4 linked regions of the Macaca mulatta genome follow. The protein of the gene in region 3 binds, or shares a complex with, the protein of the main gene of each other region. Links are inferred from orthologs where the notes say so. Each region holds a gene or a part of one and is shown on either strand. Other genes may lie near its edges.

Region 1 (3,606 bases), on a different chromosome or scaffold from region 3:
TTGTTAGATAGCTTAAAAGCACTCAGTCTTGTTTTCTCTGTGGTTTATACGTTCGGATTCTTTTGGCAACTTTTAGTTCAGAAGGGGGTGACTGTCAGGAAATGTCTCAACTCTTCAAAGCTGGTAGGAAAGCCGCCGCCCAGTTCGGCACTGTGGTGCACCAGTTCAAAGTGGTTTTGCTAAATGGAAATGAAAATTACTCATTTTTCAGAGCTAGGATTTTAACTGAAAATCTGTGGGGTTTTAGCAAGTCCCTCTTACTTTATCATTCGGGTGGCACAGACACTGCTGCCTTTGATTCTACGCACAGTGCATGGGGGATGTCAGAGCCCCCACACCCGTGCTTCTGTAAAGATGGGAGACTAATTTCCTGGAGCACACATGGGCTTCCAAACAGGAAGAGCAGCGTGTGTGTGAGGAAGGGAATTTGTGAGGAAGGGAATTTGTGAGGAAGGGAATTTCATGTGAGGGTACAAGGAGAGACAGAAACAGAATAAGCAGATCTAGCAGTGATGAGGATAGAATTCTCTGCCATTGTCTGTCAATGACACTCAAGTAGCCATCAGGTACACTGCAGTGCGCTGATGAGCTTTAAAATGTAAATGGGAAGACGGTCTGTACTGAAGACACCGTGTGGAGAACGGGGAGAGCGCTGAAGCTGCCTCCTCGCGAGTCTTGCAGAAAGGCAGCAGGTTCAGTGGCATCAGCAAGCGGCCGCCCAGCCCGTGCTGTTCCTGGGAGTGTGCTGCTGGCAGCTTATGCACCGAGTACAGCACTACCCGGGCCCCCAAGACCGGGTGGCGTGTGTAGACAGATGGGGCGGAGGGGCAGAGGAGCATGATGTGCAGACAGGGCCTGCTGAGGAAGGGATGCAGGAGGGTGGACGTGTGTGGGCACATGCACCTCAGCATAACAGCTAAGTCTGTAAAGGCAGCTTGGGACCAGCTGAGACTGAGGGTGCACTTCAGGCTCTCCTAGGAACACAGCCATCGAGGTGTCTTAAAGCAGGGCAGTAAATTTACCAGCTTCTTGATTAAACATAACTCCAGTGACGCAGGGAGGATACTGCTGATAAATGACAGTGGCCGCTAACATCTCTTGAGCACGCCCTTGCAGCCAGCGCCATGCTAAGCACTCGGTGTAGATAACCTCATGTAGTCCTGGGCACCATGCTAAGCACTCGGTGTAGACAACCTCCTGTCGTCCTGGGCACCATGCTAAGCACTCGGTGAAGGTAACCTCATGTCGTCCTGGCAGCCCGCCAGTGAGGTAGCTGTTTTTATACCCACGTAAGAGATGCAGAAACCTGAGGGTCTCAGAGCAGCTCACACAGCTGGTAAGACACCGAGCCAGAATTCACACCCAAGTTGCGGTGGAGTCTGCTCGTAAACGGTGTTCACCTGTTCCTGAGGGCAAACTGGAGGGGGGTAGGTGCCATGAAAAATCAAGGGCGAGGGGTGAGGCGGACTGAGCCGCTCCCAGTGCGGCACGACGGGACAGGATGAAGTGGCGACTGGAGGTAGAAGGGACAGGCCTTGGCTGCTGATTCCATATGGAGGAGCCGCTCACGGTGCCACATTTCCAGCTTGCACGGTCCATTCACTGGTGGAAACTAACAGGCACGCGTGGAGGTGCAGAGGCAAGGAGTTAATTGTCCTCGGGGAATCTGGGTGAGCCACCGTAGGAAGTGTAGTGAGTGGGACAGCGCGGTCACTGGGACAGGGGTGATCATGGAAGATGGGGTGGGAGGGAAGCCAGAGGCGTGAACAGTGAGGCCCAGGGGCCAGCCGAGTGCCTAAGGAGGGCTGCGGTCAGAGAGACGGAAAGGAGCGTCCCCAGGAGGGGCCCTCATCCCTGCCAGGACCTGGGACAGGGTCCAGTGGAGGTCTGAGGGCCGCCACTGGGACACCGATGTGGACACCGTGCCTACGTCACACACACAACTGGAGCCGCCCCCTCTGCCTTCACTCACAGTGGTGTCTCCCCTTTATGCAGAGAGCATCAATGATGTCACGTTTGGAGCCGGGGTCAGTTACATCGGGACACCACGGACTCCTTCATCAGCCAAAGGCAAGTTCTTGGTTTCCTTCTGGGCTGATATATGCGCTGCCTCTGAGGTTCTGGCAAAACTGAATTTGTTTGTTTAAATCCCTTTTAGAGAAAATTGAAGCCAGGAGTCAAGGAAATGACATCTTATGTTTATCATTGCCTGATAAACCGTAAGTTTAGCAGTGTTCCTTTTGAGGTGGATGTTTTTTTCAGGGTTTTTCTGAGTTCCAGAATGACTGCGTATGTCCTTTCCCTAGGCCCCCACAGCCTCAGCAGTGGAATGTGAGGTCTCCAGCCAGGAATAAAGACACTCCAGCCTGCAGCAGGAGGTCCCTGCGAAAGACCCCTCTGAAAACAGCCAACTAAAGAGCGCATCCCCACCAGTGTCCGGGCAGGCAAGAGCCCCTGAGGAAGCCGTCTCGTGTCCTCCGTGTGGACAGGCAGCTGGATCACTTCCCGCAGTCCTTGGGCAGCGCTTTGCTGTGGAACACGAGAGCTCCTCCTCAGGGGCCTGGCACTCACCTGCATTTAGCCGGCCAGCCCTTTCTATGCTGTATGATATATATGGTTAAACACTGTAAAATAGAGATGTGCCAAATTTAGATTTTCTTACCCTAAGCCTAATCTATTTAATATTATAACTTTATTCCATTTGAAAGTGTCAAGCCCATGCAGATAAGCTATAATCTGGTCTTTAAAAACTTCAGCTTTCTTTTATATAAATCAAGCCTGTGTTAACATGTTTGAATTCCTTATAGTACATATTTTCCCATCTGTAATGACAAAATATTGATTGTAATATTTTTTCTATTATTTATAATTGCAAATTTTTAAAATATACAGCTTTCTAAAAGTAATAAATGTTTAGGATAAATACAGCCTTCCAGTAAATAGAATGTTTCTGTTTTTAGAACAGAGCTCTTACTGGTAATCATTTTAATTTTACGTAAAGCATGTTAGAGGAATGAAACCAAATCTTTCCTATTAGAAAAAAAATGATTGTCTTGAGGGGCAGTTGATCTGTGCCCATGCAGAGGCCATGTGCTTTCTATAACAGACATAAACAGCATCGCTGCTTGTGAAAAAATAGCTTTGCGGCCTTCCCCAGAGCAGCACTGATGCCGATTTGTGCAGCCCTCTGCTAAGGGCTGCTCCCGTGATGGGGGAACGGCTTGAGTCTCTTCTGTTCACTCTGTTGGGTAAACTTAACGATATTTTTGTTCAAGAATATCCAAAAAGAAATGCAGTTGGCTTGTTTTTTAATCCCAGTATTACAAAAGCAAAAGTACAAAGTGATTATGTGCGTTGGTTGGTTTGGGGGATGGATGGGATGCCACTGAGCTCTGCCCCTGCTATCCTAAGTGGGGACTGCAACGCAGGTGGACTCGGTGGTGGAGAGGCGCAGCACTGCTCTGGAGCACACAGGCTGACATTCTGCCCAGGCACCGACCGACTCCCCTGGTGGATGGGTGACAGCATTTTTAGTGCGCGCGCCTAACCACTGAAATGCCAGGAAGAAGAGACAAACACAAGAGCAAACAAGAAAGAATGAAGCAA
Region 2 (5,080 bases), on a different chromosome or scaffold from region 3:
ACTTATTTCCTTTACTGGGGATGTTAATAACATGATATTAATGATATTTTATCAACAACTGTTAATAAAATTACCAACTAAGGAGGGAGAAATCCAAATAGCCTTAGGAAGCTCACCACCATCTCTCCCTTTTTAGTACCTTAGCAAGATGCTGGCTCGGCAGATCGAGTTGGTTCAACAAAAGAACAATCTGATCCCAGCTGCAGATTCTGAAGATGCTCCCTTTCTAAAGGCCATTCCTCCATCAAAAAAAAAAATCCCACTGTTAGTGTCATCTTGTTATTCAATGTGAGATGGAGAACAGTGGCCCCGGGGAGGGGGGCGGGGGTCACCTGGGATCTTGTTAGACTATCCTTTAGAAATGCGTAACCACAGCACTCTCCTCCCACCCCTTCGGGATAATGAGAGCTCAGGGGACTTTGTACACCTTCTATCCTGTCTGTGTTTTTCCAGGAAATTCTATTTCACATTCACAACACCTGGTGCTATTGGTGCCCTACTAAAAAGACATCAACCTAAAGATGAGGTAATAGCAAATGATGGAACATATTTGCAGTAGGAGCCCCCTGACTTTAAAAATAAATGAAAACCACCTGCACCATTATAAATAGAGCAATATGGAAAATTACTGCCAATAATTATGGGGATAGAGAGTTATCTTAAACATATAATACTAGATTTTAATGTCTAAATCGAACAAAGCAGAAAATAACCTCAGTTTAATGACTCCCCAAATAAGTTAACAGTGAAGTCTGGTCATCTCATTCCTCAACTCAAATGGCTGAACTATGAACCACAGTCATGGACCACATAACATTTCAGTCAACAACAGACCACATATATGACCGTGGTCCCATAAGATTATAATGCCATATTTTTACTGTGCCTTTTCTATACTTAGATATGTTTAGCGATGCAAATACTTACCATTGTTACAGTTGCCTACAGTACAGTAACATTCTAGCAGCAGTAGGCTACACCCTCTAGGTGTAGGCAAGTTCACTCTGTGATGTTCATTCAATGATGAACTTGCCTAACGACAACGTTTCTCCCTCTTTAAATGAAGCATGACTCGCATACATTTTACTGACAAAGAAAATGGGGAGGGAAGGGAGAGTGGCCAGCAACAAGCATAACGAATAGTGGCTAGGACAAATTCATGATTTTAGAAAAATAATCCAATAAGGTGCAGCAAACACATGGAATCATACATCTTCACCTGGCAAGTCTGTGAACTCTCCACTTTTTCATAGTTCTGGTCACTTTTCTTGTTTGCTCTATTTCCAAGTGTACCTCTTTGGCATTGTAGTCCAACCTACAGTAATATACTTCCTCCAGACTACCAAACTTATTCCTGTATTTCCCATTTTCCCTCTTATATTAGTGACTGTAATTTTTTAATGGTTAATTTTTCAATCTATCTCCCAAAGTGGCAATATTCCATGTTTCTTGTAGTATATGTGCGTAAGATCTCAGCCCTGCAGCCAGAATGCTACTTTCAAGGTAAGGAGTCATCTCACCACCCAGTTATCAGTCCAAAGAGCAGGCTACTCTTCGCACAGAAGGTCCGGTACTGAATCAAGATGAGCATTAAAAAGAAGAAATCCCTGTAACCTTGTCACTACCCGTGACTTTCCACTCTGTCCCCAAACTCCTTCCTCATTGACACAACAAGAGGCACCAAACCAGCAACAAGAGTTCAGGAGACTGATGTCTCTGAGGACAATGCCCATGTCCATGGCTGGGGAGATACTCTCTGAGGGAAGTGCCTACATCCAGGGCTCAGGGAGACTCTCTCTAAGGGGACACTGTCTGAGGGCAGTGCCCATGCCCAGGACTGAGGGGGTCGCTGAGGGCACTGCCCATGCCCAGGACTGAGGGGGTGGCTCTCTGAGGGCAGTGCCCAGGCCCAGGACTGAGGGGATTTACTCTCTGAGGGCAGTGCCCAGGCCCAGGACTGAGGGGACACTGAGGGCAGTGTCCATGCCCAGGACGGAGGGGGTGGCTCTCTGAGGGCAGTGCCCAGGCCCAGGACTGAGGGGATTTACTCTCTGAGGGCAGCGCCCAGGCCCAGGAATGAAGGGACACTCTGAGGGCAGTGTCCACGCCCAGGACGGAGAGGCTCACTCTCTGAGGGCAGTGCCCATGCCCAGGACTGAGGGAGTCACTCTCTGAGGGCAGTGCCTAGGCCCAGGACTGAGGGGACACTCTCTTGAGGGCAGTGCCGATGCTCAGGGCTGGGGGGTCGCTCTCTGAGGGCAGTGCCCATGCTCAGGGCTGGCGGGTCACTCTCTGAGAGCGTGCCCGCGCCCGGGGCTGAGGGGACTCTCTCTGAGGGCAGTACCGACACCCAGGACTGAGGGGTCACTCTCTGAGAGCGTGCCCGCGCCCGGGGCTGAGGGGACTCTCTCTGAGGGCAGTACCGACACCCAGGACTGAGGGGACTCTCTCTGAGGGTAGTGTCCATGCCCAGGACGGAGGGGACACTCTCTGAGGGCAGTGCCCATGCTCAGGGCTGGGGGGTCGCTCTCTGAGGACAGTGCCCGCACCCGGGGCTGAGGGGACCCTCTCTGAGGGCAGTGCCCATGCCCAGGACGGAGGGGACACTCTCTGAGGGCAGTGCCCATGCTCAGGGCTGGGGGTTCGTTCTCTGAGGGCGTGCCCGCGCCTGGGGCTGAGGGGACTCTCTCTGAGGGCAGTGCCCGCGCCCGGGGCTGGGATTTTCCTCCGACACGGACAGGAAGGACGGGCGTCGCTGAGCTGGGAAGGGGGGATGGCCCGGGGTCGCCTCTTCCGTCCGGTCCCGTCAGACGCAGCACTGCCCGCGCGCTGGTCGGCAGCCCACTTAGGGAAGTGGAGGCCGAGACCCCGACCAGCCGAGGAGGGGCTTCCGCCCGATCCCTGCTACCTCCCAGCCTCTGCTCTGAACCCAATCCCGGCTCCGCACCGCAGCTCTCACCTGGGCTCGGGGACCCGCCGTTTCCCGCGCTCGGACCAGATTCAAACGCACCCGCCGGCGCCCCAGACGGGCCCCGCCCTCCCGGTCGTCACCCAGCGCCGCTCTCGCGAGAGCTGGGGCGCCGCGATCCTCGGGCCCCACCCACACGCCCGTTCCGCCCCGCCTCCAGATCATGCCCCGCCCACATGCCCGCCGGTCTTCCTCCTGTCTATGCCCCGCCTCCCAGTGCCCTACCGGGCACCACGGAACGCGCACGCGCGGCGCCACAGCTGGGGAACCCATGCACGGTGCGCGCGCCGACGTCCACTGCGAGCTTGTGCGCGTCCTGGGGCCTCCGCGGAGGGAGTGCGCGGTCCAGGAGAGGGCGGGGCGCTGGGAGCGGGCGGTGTTGGGGGAAGGAGGAAGGAGAGGAAGGGAGAGACGGGGAGAGGAAGGAAAGGTTTGGGGCGGGGAGAGGCCACAGGGCCGTGTCTGGATCCCCGGGAGGACCCCACCCCGGCCTGGCCGGCTACCGTGACCGCCCTCCCTGCCAAGGGGTCACCTGTCCGGCCTGCACCCAGTAGGTGCGCCCTGGGCAGGTGCTTCCCCCGCAGAACTCCCACCCCCCCACCCCCGGCAGGTAGGCTGCCCATAGGGTGGAGAGCGAGAGGCCTTAGCGGGGACCCTCGAAGGCACCCGTGTGAAGGAGGAGTAGCAATGTCATTTAATTCTTCGGACTTAAATGCCAAAGGCACATACTGATCTATCAATCTCTTTTAATTTGTGTCAGCGAATAACTTCATTGGGCGTTCCCAATTTTTGTTGAAAGCAAATTCTTAGAAAATGGTGCTCTTTACCACCGAGCTCTGCATCCCTTCGTGAGGATTTGGCCTTCCATGGTGCTATGTTCTTTCATGCTTGAGATGTCTAGAGTGGTATCTGTTTTCCTGGCTGAACTCAAACCAGAGGTCTCGGCGAGATTGAAGTCGTTGCACTGTGGGAGCACAGCACCACCCAGTAGGAACATCATGGGAGCCACAGTGCAATTGTAAATTTCTAGTGACCACATTAGAAAAAAATAAATAGGTGACATTGATTTTTAAATATGTTTTATTTAGGCTAGTGTATCAAAAATATTTATATTACTTGTTGGAATATCGTTTCAACAAGCAATATAAAATTATAGCAGGGAGAAGAGTGGTTTACTGGGAAGCTTGCAACAGTGAAGCAAGGCAGGCTGCAGAGGGGAGGGAGAAGACCCACTCAGAGCATGCCGAGTTTCGGACCCTTGTCAACAGGTGGCCGATATCTAACATCGCCTATTTCATCCTGGAGCTCCAGCCACCTCTGACCTCTTCCCTCCATACACAGACATCTCCTTCCCTGCAGTTTCTTGAATTTTGGTGCCCTCACCTTCTTCTCACTGCTTTCTTCTTAGCAATTTCCTTCATATCCAAGGTGCAAACTGCCACCTTTGAGCAGTGACCTCTGCATCTGGAATTGCAAGACACGGTTATTTCTGAACTCCAGAATTTTCAACAGCTCACTGCCTATTCCCATGCGGGTGCTGACATGCATCCAAAACGGAAATCAATTTCCTCTCCCAACCCTGAATCCTGCCCCTTTCCTTATGCTGGTCCCTCCTCCAATCAGCCATTTGTTCCTGGTGGTTCTGCTTCCTGAATAGGAATAACGTAATAAGTTACACATGTGAGCTCTGAAGCTGTACCACCTGGGCTAACCTGGTTCTGTGCTCACTAGCTGGTGACCTTCGACAGGCCATGGACGACTAAGCCTTAGTTTTCTCATCTATTAGATGGGACCTACTTAAGTACTGAGCCTCCTCTAGGGAGTTATTATGAGGCCTAAATGTCTGTGTAGTGCAGAGCTCAGCCTCCTCTAGGGAGTTATTATGAGGCCTAAATGTCTGTGTAGTGCAGTGCTCAGAGGCACGTGGGAGCAGGGCAGCAGGAGCGCTGACTGTGCCCCCAATGCACCTGCCCATGTAGCCGCTAATGTCATAGGATTCTTTCGGTATCACTTCACCAGCTAGAAACCTCCGTGGCCAGCGGCGCCTCTGTTAGAGTTTTGCTCAAGCCCACTCGGCCCAGCAGGTTGTGCTCGGCTTGCACTACCGACCCA
Region 3 (4,200 bases):
CCTCAGGCTCCACATACTCCTCAGGTTCTAGAAAGTCATCTGCTGGGAGGTGGGAGAGTGGACAGCACAGAGGCAGCCAGTCAGCTGGCAGCAGGTGCCAAGCCCCGCCCCACCCCCACTGGCAGGCACCCACCTGCTGCCCCCAGGTCTTCCAGAGAATCCTCCAGGTGGTCCTCCTCTGCAGACCACAGCCCCTCCTCGGCCCTCGGCAGCCACTGCTCGGCCACCTGTCCAGAGACAGCATCTGTGAGGGGCACTGTCATCTCCCATCAGGGCCGCCACGGGGTCCTAGATCACAGCTGACCAGTTGGGACTTGCCTCCCTCCTCTGCAGCTTCCGGAGAGTTTCCAACTGCTCCTTCACGTGTGTCCAGTACAGGACCTCCATGTCTGCAGACAAAGACCTTGTGAAGACTCCCTTGTCCTTCCCAGGCCCTGTGCCAGTCCACCCGAGGCTCTGGTGACACCAGGTGGGGGCAGACGTAGGGGAAGGGGAGTAAAACTGTCTTCCCTGAGGACTTCAGCCTCACCTGCAAAGGACGGACCCTTTCGCCGAGGCCTCCGGCTGTCAGCATGGTCAGCATCTGAGAGAGAACATGGTCAGCACCAACCAGGCCAAGAGCTGCCCACGGCAGTGGGGAAAGGGTGTTGATCCTCCTCCACGGGCCCTGGCCCAGCCCCCAGCTCCCAGGGGTCCGGAGTGCATGGCACACCCACTCACAGGCAGCCAGGTACCACTGGTGGAAGTCCTGCAGCTTGGCAGCACTCTTCCTCTTGCGCTTCTGTCCCGGAGCCTCCTCCACACAGGGGGGCACAGAGTAAGGCCTACCTAGAGGCAAACAGGGACTGTCTTAGAGCTGCTGGGCAATCAGGGTGCAAAGCCCTCTCCCACCCCCCTACCTCATGCCCCAGGAGACCCAGCCAGGAGTACCTGAGTGGAGGTATCTTCCACCCAATTACCTTTCTTGAAGGGCTTAGACTCCAGGGAGTCAAAGGGGTCCAGGCTCTGCCAGGGCTCTGGAGTCTCCTGGGCACAGAGCACAAGAAGGCGCTGGAGGAGTAGGGGGTGCACAGCCGCCCTCCCAAAGGAGAAGTAGGGGGTGCACAGCCGCCCTCCCAAAGGAGGAGTAGGGGGTGCACAGCCGCCCTCCCAAAGGAGGAGTAGGGGGTGCACAGCCGCCCTCCCAAAGGAGGAGTAGGGGGTGCACAGCCGCCCTCCCAAAGGAGGAGTAGGGGGTGCACAGCCGCCCTCCCAAAGGAGGAGTAGGGGGTGCACAGCCGCCCTCCCAAAGGAGGAGTAGGGGGTGCACAGCCGCCCTCCCAAAGGAGTAGGGGGTGCACAGCCGCCCTCCCAAAGGAGGAGTAGGGGGTGCACAGCCGCCCTCCCAAAGCCCAGGCAACAAGTGCGGTGAGAGCCTGGGACAGAGCCGACCACACTCAAATCCTGGATCACAGAGGGGAACAATCGAGGGACGGTGGGGGCCCAGAGTCGCATGAGGGGGTCTCTAAGAGAGCAAGTGCAAAGGGCCACAGGCTGAGAACACCGCAGGAGCGAGAGCATGATGGGCAGGCAGCCAGTCCTCGAATCCGCCCGTCCTCCCTGCCAGGGTCAGGGCCCCAACGCTCCTACCTTCATGCAGGATGCAGGCTCTGGGGCCCCCTCTCGCTCCCGCAGCATGTACCTCCTGGGCAGGGCAGCACTCTGCAAAGACAGTCACAGGGTCTCCACTTCTCCCCTTTCTCCACTCAAGGCTCTGGGTACCCCAGGAACTCCACCTTGGGTCAACATCAAGAACTCTACAAGGGCCGGGCACGGTGGCTCATGCCTGTAATCGAAGCGCTTTGGGAGGCCAAGGTGGGCAGATCACCTGAGGTCAAGAGTTTGAGACCAGCCTGGTCAACACGGTGAAACCCCGCCTCTACTAAAAATACAAAAAAAATTAGCCGGGCGTGGTGGCACACACCTGTAATCCCACCTACTCAGGAGGCTGAGGCAGGAGAATCGCTTGAACCCAGGAGGCAGAGGTTGCAGCGAGCCAAGATCACGCCACTGCACTCCAGCCTGGGCAAAAGAACAAGACTCTGTCTAAAAAAAAAGAAAAATCCTACAGGGGCCAGACACAGTGGCTCACGCCCATAATCCCAGTGCTTTGGGAGGCCAAGGCAGGCAGATCGTTTGAGCAAGGAGTTCCAGACCAGCCTGGGCAACGTAGTGAGACCCCGTCTCTACAAAAAATACGAAAATTAGCCAGGTGTGGTGGCACGCATCTATAGTCCCAGCTACTCGGGAGGCTGAGGTGGAAGGATCACCTGAGCCTAGAGAGGGTCAAGGCTGTAGTGAGCCAAGATCAGGCCACTGCACTCTACCCTGGGCAACAGAGCAAGACCCTGTCTCAAAAACAAACAAACAAACAAAAAAACCCTGCTAGTACTCTCTGGGGGCATTAAAACAAAAACCCGAAGAAAAACTTTAAAACACAAACAGTGGGCCGGACGCCGTGGCTCATGCCTGTAATCCCAGCACTTTGGGAGGCCAAGGCGGGTGGATGTCGGGCATGGTGGCAGGCGACTGTAGACCCAGCTACTCGGGAGGCAGGAATGGCGTGAACCCAGGAGGCGGAGCTTGTAGTGAGCCAAGATCGCACCACAGAACTCCAGCCTGGGCGACAGAGCGAGACTCTGTCTCGCAAAAAACAAAACAAAACAAAACAAAAAAAACAGTGGTCACGGGGTACTCTTCTTCAAAACTAAGAAAAACGAATAGAATATGACAAATATCCATGTCATCGACCAACCAGAGTGAAGAAACATTAACATTTCCTCTGTATGCATCGGGTTGATTTTCTGCTTTAATAAATAAAAAGGATTTCTTGGCTCTAGACTGCGTACAGTTGACCCTGGGGGTTGAGGGAGGCAGCAATGGCCTCCAGACACCCCCTCCTACCAGCCCAACTGCAAAAGAGGCGCCTCGGCGACCAGCAGCCATCCCAGGTAGCTGTGAGCTCGGCAGGGCCCAAACCCTTGGACGCCAGCCCACTACTCTGAAGATCATCAGTTCTGTCCAGAGAGGGGAGGAACACGGAAGCTGCCGTTCCAAAGGGCTGGCTGCAGGACGGGCTGCAGGACGGTGGGCTTCTGCCCCAGACCAATGGCCCGGGGCCAAGGCCATAGCGCTGCCCTCCTCGTGCAGGCTGACTCAACCCCAGAGCCAGGGTTGCCCCGTTCACAGCTCAGGCTCTGCAGGCCTCCATGTGGGTCCCACCTGCTGCGGGCTCCTGGGCTCCTCGGGCTCCAGAGTGGCCTTGGGGGCCGAGGCCTCAGGAAGGTCTACTGCCTCCTCTGCATCCTCGTCCTCACCCCCGCCCAGGGGCGCCGGGCCTTCTGGAGAGGGGCCTGGACAGGGAGCAAGAGAGTGATCAGCTCCAAGGAATGTCGAGACCAGACGGCACCAGAGGGACCCTGACGGCTACTTCCTCCCTCAGCTTTAGTCACGGAACCCAGAGGATTCAGCAGGTGCCTTGCACCCTCCTCGTCATGCTAGCGTGCTGTGCTCTGTTTGGTTCATTTTATTTCTTGGCAAATGTTCCTCTTTAAATGCAGCCATCCACATCTGCCCAGAGAGGACACCCAGGAAGGCAGAGGGCAGTCAGTGAACCAAGACGGGCTGAGGCTTAGGTAAGGCCAGGGGCTGTGGCTGCTTCCCCGGGGTGAGGCCTCATTCCCGTGGGCCATGGAAAGGGTGTGAGGCTGGCAGCTGACGGCAGCGCCTTGGACCCCTGTCCACTGAGAGCTGCCTCTCTGGTCCCCTTTGGCTGCCATGCCAGTCCCACCAGGGAGCTTTCTTCTCACCTGGGTCCTGGGAGAAGCCAAGTGCTGGGACAGGGCTCCTGCACACGGAAACTTCCATTGGCTGCTCCTCAGTTCTCCCGGCATCTGGGAGACAGGGATTGGACAAGGTCAGCCCAGCCCCTCTCCAAGATGGTCCCTGCCTGGTGTTCAACTAGCCCCTCCAAGGGGCCAGCAGAAGGGCAGAGTCCAGCAGACTCCAGGCCTTGGGCTGGGGGAACACAGCAGGGCCCTGAGCCAGGCACCAGGTCCCTGGCACTGAGACCATGTTAACTTGTAATCAAGGCACAGCAGACGGGTGGGATGAGCACCAGCCAACCTGTCTAGACTGGAGCGGGCACCCAGAGAGAGGGAG
Region 4 (5,007 bases), on a different chromosome or scaffold from region 3:
CATTGACAAGCTGAAAACACTGCCTGACTATATTAATAACACACATAAAAAAAAAGCTCTACTGAGAAAAATAGAAGTAGAATGTCTAAAATGAAACAATAACTCTAACTAGACCGATTTCAGTACACTCAATCTAAGGTGTCATTAAAAGATAGATAGATGAATGCAGGGGCAGGGAGGGAAACTGGAGCATACCTGGTATAATCAGGCAAGTGAAGGAACTAGGAACAAACATCAATGAAAGACCTGGTAAGATTTCACTTAGAACTAAAACACATATGCTTGCAGATCACTTGAACACTGAAGTAGGGAATAAGTCAGATTTGCTCTTAGTGCTCTCAAGAGCACTAGGATTAATGAATAAAATTTGAAGACAGCAGACTCTGACAAAATTTATAGGGGTAACTTTCTAGTAAGACCTGTCCAAAAACAGAATGGGTTACCTCAGACGACTGCAAGATCTCAAGTACACAGGTGTTCAAGAACAGCCAGAGAAGATTCAAGTATGGTTTAAGATTTCAGCATAGCTGAGTGCTTATACGGGATGAATAACTTTTCAGTTCTCTTTCAGTTCTCTTAGTGATAGAGTGTACATGATCAAAATTTTAATGTAAGGAAGATATTAAGGAATCTAGTCAGAATTTAAGGCACAAATTTTGCTCATCAACTTTCTCTAGCACGTTTTGCAAAGGCATAGGGCCAAAAACCACATCAGACATAAAAGGTCTTAAGATATCGAAATGTTTAATAGCCACTCACCTGCCTTGTTACTGTGATTTCATCATGAACCTCAAATCCTAAAGGACTTTGCTTTTTGTCAGAATTATCAAATGTGATTGACACAGAGGCTTTGGTAATACCAGCCTGCCCATTTTTGTAAACTAAATCTTGTAAATTAGAAGCTCGAACCTAAAATAAAAGAAGAAAAGTGTATCAATTACAAAACTCCCTACAAAGCAGCACTAAAAATGAATTCCTTGCTGTTGGAAAACCCACCAACATAGTGTCCACTAAGCAGACAAGGATAGGCAGCTGCATACTCTGGCAAGGAAAATAGGTAACAACCTGAAATGGACACTTTTCTCTATAGAACCTTTTCAACTCTGAATTGAATTGTTTCCTATTCATTTTTTAACAAAAAGTTACTTGGCAAGATATAAGGAAAGACAGTCCCAATGATTTTCACTAGTCATTCAATCTATTAGCAGGATTTGAAAAGGCATCATTACACAGGGTTGAAAATACTCTGGAATGAGACTACTTTACAGTCAGAAAGCCTGAGTTTTGAGGCATTGTTACTTATAAACATCTCCAACATAAACATCTCTATGTTTCTATTTTCTCATCTAAAGGAGTAATAATAGTTTCCTTAAAAGGTGACAGTGAGGTGTAATTTACAAAAAGTATAAAAACACAAATGAAGAGAATATTGTTAAGTCTCCAAAGTTCAGGGAGGATTCTCCTGCCCACTTAAATTCAAATAAATCAGAAAGTTTACACTTTACCTGAGACAGGTTGGAGATGCCCAGCAAAAAGCAGATGGAGTCCAATATGTTTGATTTTCCACTACCATTTAAGCCAGTGATAGCATTGAAGAGGGGGTCAAAACCATTGACTTCGGTTCTCTGAGCATAGGACTTGAATCCCTCTAGAATAATTGACTTAATATGCATTTTCGATACTGTCTTGGGTCAGCAAACCTCTGACAGGAATCAAACAGGCCACAAACCAGTTCTGTACGAAACAGAAATACCACCACCTAAGTGGAATGTAAACCTGGAATCATAATGAACACTAGGCAAAAACGGTAATGATAGGGTAATAGAAATAAAACAGCCACTTGACAAACTATCTTGTCTGATGTAAAGACATCGTTCATCTACTCAAAAATATAACAGAGTTAGCCACTATCTGGAAATTAAACCATTCAACTGGGAAGTCTTAACTATTTCTTACACCTGTTTTTCCAGGCTTGCCTTCTACTTTCATCATACTCTAGCTAATAAAGACTACGGATTATTTCATACCCCATTATCTTTGCCCACAATGTGCTTTTTTCTGATACTGACGTAGCTTACTCTCTACTGCACTCACGTCTTTGCTCAAATGTGTCACCCTACTGGAGTCCTCCCTGACCTCCCTGTGTCACCTCTCCACACTTCTTCACTCGGCTTTTTCCTTCATGGTACTTAAAACTGGTATTAGACGGTCATTACTTGTCTGTAAGTTCCTGTAGTATCTTCACCTACGTTCATCATTGCATCCCCGAATTGTGCTTGACTCCGGGAGGAGGGGAAGTCATCTAAGTATTTACTAGGGATGAGATGTATCTCATACTCTCCACCGTCTTGCTTTTACTCAGGCTGTTACTTCGCTTCTTGAGGCCTGTCTACACCTCTTCGCCCTACTCCAAGGCCGAATAGGAACTAGCCTTTATTTCTAAGGATCACCTAAGGTCCTCCTCCCCATAGCCCCCGCGTCCCGCCTCCCGCCAGGATGTCTAGCCGGGCTCAACCGGCCGTGCTCACGCACACGCCTCACCGCTGCCTCAGGCCAGGGCTTGACGCACCCCAAAAGCTCCTCCGGGTCACAAAGGCGGGGAGCAGGCCAACTCTCTAGCCGCGGCTGCTACGAAGAGAACTTCACCATAGCGGATACAACACCTGCCGCACCGCTCTCAACACCCGCGCCGGAACTATTTATTCCTTTGAATTTCGGCGCGAGCAAAGGACCCCACCTCCATTGCTTATTTCCTGTGCTGGTGCCTAGGAGCTGCCTGTCTTTAGGATTCCATTTTTCCCCTACACGCGAAGGATTAACGCTTCAGGGCAATAGGACGCAGAGTCTCGATAATGGCAGCTCCGGGGACTCCCAGGCGCGGGCCTGGGCACTACAAGAGCAGGTAGTATATGTTCACACCGGCGTCCGGCACGCTATGGTCAGCCCCACACCTCGTCCCCAGGTCCTCGCGCTTCGTCAGCCCCGCCCCTCCTCGGGTCCTCTAGTCAGCGTTCGGCGCCCTGCAGACTCCGCCTTCTCGAGTTCTGGGCGGTGCTCACCGCGGCTTACTACTCTTCACGCAAAGCGACAGAATCAGGAGGTGTAGAGGCATTCTTTGAGTGTTCTTGTCGGTTCTGTTTTGGAAGCCTCAGAATCTTCTTGGGTTGGCTCAGATTGCTGCAAAGTAAAAGCTGTATTTCGGTGGGGCCGGAGAGGCACAGTCCTTCGGAGGACTCTGGCCCGCGTCCTGGCTCGGTCCCGTGCTGCCTTCGGACTTCGCCGAGCCTTTTTATCTGAAATTTTCACGTCGGGAAGGGATCGTAGTCTACTGAGAGCTGTTCTGAGCCCAGAGGAGTTGTGTGGTGCTAAATAGCTGTTCACCTCCCTTACACTGGAAAGCGTTGTAATGATAAGCCTACCTAACCTGTCAGGGAATTTTTCTGGAAACCTTTTAAGACAGTTCATATTTATTGAGTTCTGAGTGTTAGGCTATGTTCCAAGGGGCTTTTTAAAATCCTCGTAGCAACCCTGTGAAATCAGAAATTGCCCTCGTTTTACAAATGAGTTGAATGAGTCCAAGTAAAAGGTTAAGCAGTTTGTCTAGTAAGCTGGGATTTGTTTCCAGTCTAGTTCCAGATTGCATGCTTTTAAATACATACTAGGCTCCCTGCATAGAATCTAGTACTATTCACCGATCCTGTTAATTGGTATGTATTGTTCTTTAGAAAGAAAAAAGGTGTCAGCATTACTTACGTTTCCAAGCACGTTGATACTAAAGAGTTAGGAAGGATTTAACTCCGAATGGGTATGGTGTTTTTCTAGGTGAGGTACAAAAACATGGTGTGGACAATGCCATTTTGGGATGGCTTGATCCTTTTGGGCTTCCATAACAAAATACCATAGACTGGGTAGCTTATGAACCACAGAGGTTTATTCTTCACATTTCTGAAGGCTGGAATGTCACAGAACAAGGTGTGTCTAGGAAGGAGTGCTTTCTGTTCAGTGGATAGCACCTTCTGACCCTGTCCTCACATGGTGGAGAGGCAGAGGCCCTCCCTTGGGCCTATCTTATAAGGGCCTTTCCTTTCTTCCCATTCCTCACTTCCCAAGAGGCCACTTGCCAAAACCATCAGTTTGGGGGTTAGAATTTCAAAATGTGAAGTTTGAGGGACATATTTAGACCATAGCATAGGGCGTGTTTTTAAAGTTGCTTTCTTGGCCCTGGAATGGCAATGCAGTCGTCTGAACTGGTCTTAATCTACCAGGAATGGGCCTAAATTTTGAAAATATTTCTCGTTAAGGGAGTAAAATAAGTTTTATGGGTTTTTTGTTTAAGAAAGGATTCATTTATTTACTCTGATATGCTTACCCACTTCTGTGATGTCAACCATGGGTAGTGACCTAACATTAATTTACTTCAGCAGATATCTTTGTCTGCCTTGAATCCTGCATCCCCTAGGCTCCACAGCTATTCAATTGTATTGATTCTGTTAACTCTTACACATTTACTTTCACCTGTGTCTCCTTCCTTTTATCATTTTGTGAGTAAATAATTTTTAATTTGCCAACAAATCCTAATGTGGACGTAGTCAAGTTGTGAAATAAAGTGATTCTTGGTATGGAAATATGTGTGAAGACAGACTGTTAGTCTTTGCACTTTAACAACTAGCTGATGCACTTACGTCAAATGGATGAAAACATACAAATGCACTGTTGTTGGTTAAGGACTTCTGGGTGGTTAGAAGAATGTGCAGATCTAACTACTCCCATTAAGACCATTGATCAAAATGAAAAATGCTTATAAAGGTGGAGATCTCTATCAGTTTTAGTCTTATTGCATGCCAGAACCACTAAGGAATTGCTGCTAAATATAGGACAAATGGACTTGAGGAAATCACTGATGACTAACTTCAAACTCTGCCTCCTGAGATCACCACAGGTGAGTGGAAACAAGGCGCAAAGCCAGTAAAGCCCCCTCATTTGGAGATGTGAGGGGTAGAAACAGAG

Evidence for each region. The genes of interacting proteins can lie anywhere in the genome.
Region 1: the proteins of NCAPH2 (region 3) and NCAPD3 are in contact, whole or in part, in a cryo-EM structure (PDB 9F5W), measured with the Homo sapiens proteins. The link is inferred for Macaca mulatta from reciprocal best matches to the Homo sapiens genes NCAPH2 and NCAPD3. Residues at the interface, in NP_689512.2 of Homo sapiens: Trp22, Ser68, Lys69, Glu72, Tyr75, Tyr79, Leu82, Asp83, Ser86, Ile144, Ile145, Pro146, Leu147, Leu148, Met150, Ala151, Leu152, Val153, Asp156, Glu159, Asn161, Asn162, Asn163, Pro164, Leu165, Tyr166, Ser167, Arg168, Gly170, Leu173; in NP_056076.1 of Homo sapiens: Arg589, Pro591, Met629, Glu680, Arg683, Tyr684, His690, Lys724, Glu793, Asp800, Gln803, Arg804, Arg807, Gln817, Leu820, Gln865, Leu866, Cys867, Pro868, Ala869, Arg870, Val871, Val918, Ile925, Lys929, Leu932, Gln933, His934, Ala956, Asn960.
Region 2: the proteins of NCAPH2 (region 3) and NCAPG2 are in contact, whole or in part, in a cryo-EM structure (PDB 9F5W), measured with the Homo sapiens proteins. The link is inferred for Macaca mulatta from reciprocal best matches to the Homo sapiens genes NCAPH2 and NCAPG2. Residues at the interface, in NP_689512.2 of Homo sapiens: Pro316, Trp317, Gln318, Ser319, Leu320, Pro322, Phe323, Asp324, Ser325, Leu326, Glu327, Ser328, Lys329, Pro330, Phe331, Lys332, Lys333, Gly334, Arg335, Pro336, Tyr337, Ser338, Val339, Glu344, Gln360, Asp361, Phe362, Gln364, Trp365, Tyr366; in NP_001268861.1 of Homo sapiens: Lys248, Leu251, Gln252, His292, Ile294, His295, Leu296, Pro297, Arg299, Ser300, Val302, Lys340, Ala341, Arg342, Asn343, Ser344, Glu345, Val346, Pro388, Tyr389, Pro390, Arg393, Gly425, Glu426, Ala428, Phe429, Asp430, Thr431, Ser432, Arg437.
Region 4: the proteins of NCAPH2 (region 3) and SMC2 are in contact, whole or in part, in a cryo-EM structure (PDB 9F5W), measured with the Homo sapiens proteins. The link is inferred for Macaca mulatta from reciprocal best matches to the Homo sapiens genes NCAPH2 and SMC2. Residues at the interface, in NP_689512.2 of Homo sapiens: Glu46, Phe53, Ile54, Glu55, Leu58, Leu59, Gly62, Ser63, Ala64, Cys65, Val66, Lys69, Tyr73; in NP_001036015.1 of Homo sapiens: Leu93, Thr125, Gln128, Asp129, Cys132, Gly135, Leu136, Asn137, Met173, Tyr174, Lys177, Lys178.

Annotation. Positions count from the first base shown.
Region 1 is NC_133419.1:134,384,865-134,388,470, reverse strand, and holds the end of NCAPD3 (condensin-2 complex subunit D3), read left to right. Parts: intron 1-1,995; coding exon 1,996-2,070; intron 2,071-2,158; coding exon 2,159-2,219; intron 2,220-2,306; coding exon 2,307-2,415; 3' UTR 2,416-2,927; downstream 2,928-3,606.
Region 2 is NC_133408.1:198,132,747-198,137,826, forward strand, and holds the start of NCAPG2 (condensin-2 complex subunit G2), read right to left. Parts: upstream 2,980-5,080; 5' UTR 2,960-2,979; intron 240-2,959; exon of another isoform or gene 140-239; intron 1-139. UniProt on the Homo sapiens protein: Regulatory subunit of the condensin-2 complex, a complex which establishes mitotic chromosome architecture and is involved in physical rigidity of the chromatid axis.
Region 3 is NC_133415.1:935,636-939,835, forward strand, and holds part of NCAPH2 (condensin-2 complex subunit H2), read right to left. Parts: intron 3,933-4,200; coding exon 3,849-3,932; intron 3,393-3,848; coding exon 3,262-3,392; intron 1,702-3,261; coding exon 1,630-1,701; intron 1,027-1,629; coding exon 960-1,026; intron 829-959; coding exon 721-828; intron 584-720; coding exon 530-583; intron 390-529; coding exon 319-389; intron 228-318; coding exon 134-227; intron 43-133; coding exon 1-42. UniProt on the Homo sapiens protein: Regulatory subunit of the condensin-2 complex, a complex that seems to provide chromosomes with an additional level of organization and rigidity and in establishing mitotic chromosome architecture.
Region 4 is NC_133420.1:54,311,383-54,316,389, forward strand, and holds the start of SMC2 (structural maintenance of chromosomes protein 2), read right to left. Parts: upstream 2,980-5,007; 5' UTR 2,542-2,979; exon of another isoform or gene 2,533-2,541; intron 1,735-2,532; 5' UTR 1,674-1,734; coding exon 1,506-1,673; intron 910-1,505; coding exon 760-909; intron 1-759. UniProt on the Homo sapiens protein: Central component of the condensin complex, a complex required for conversion of interphase chromatin into mitotic-like condense chromosomes.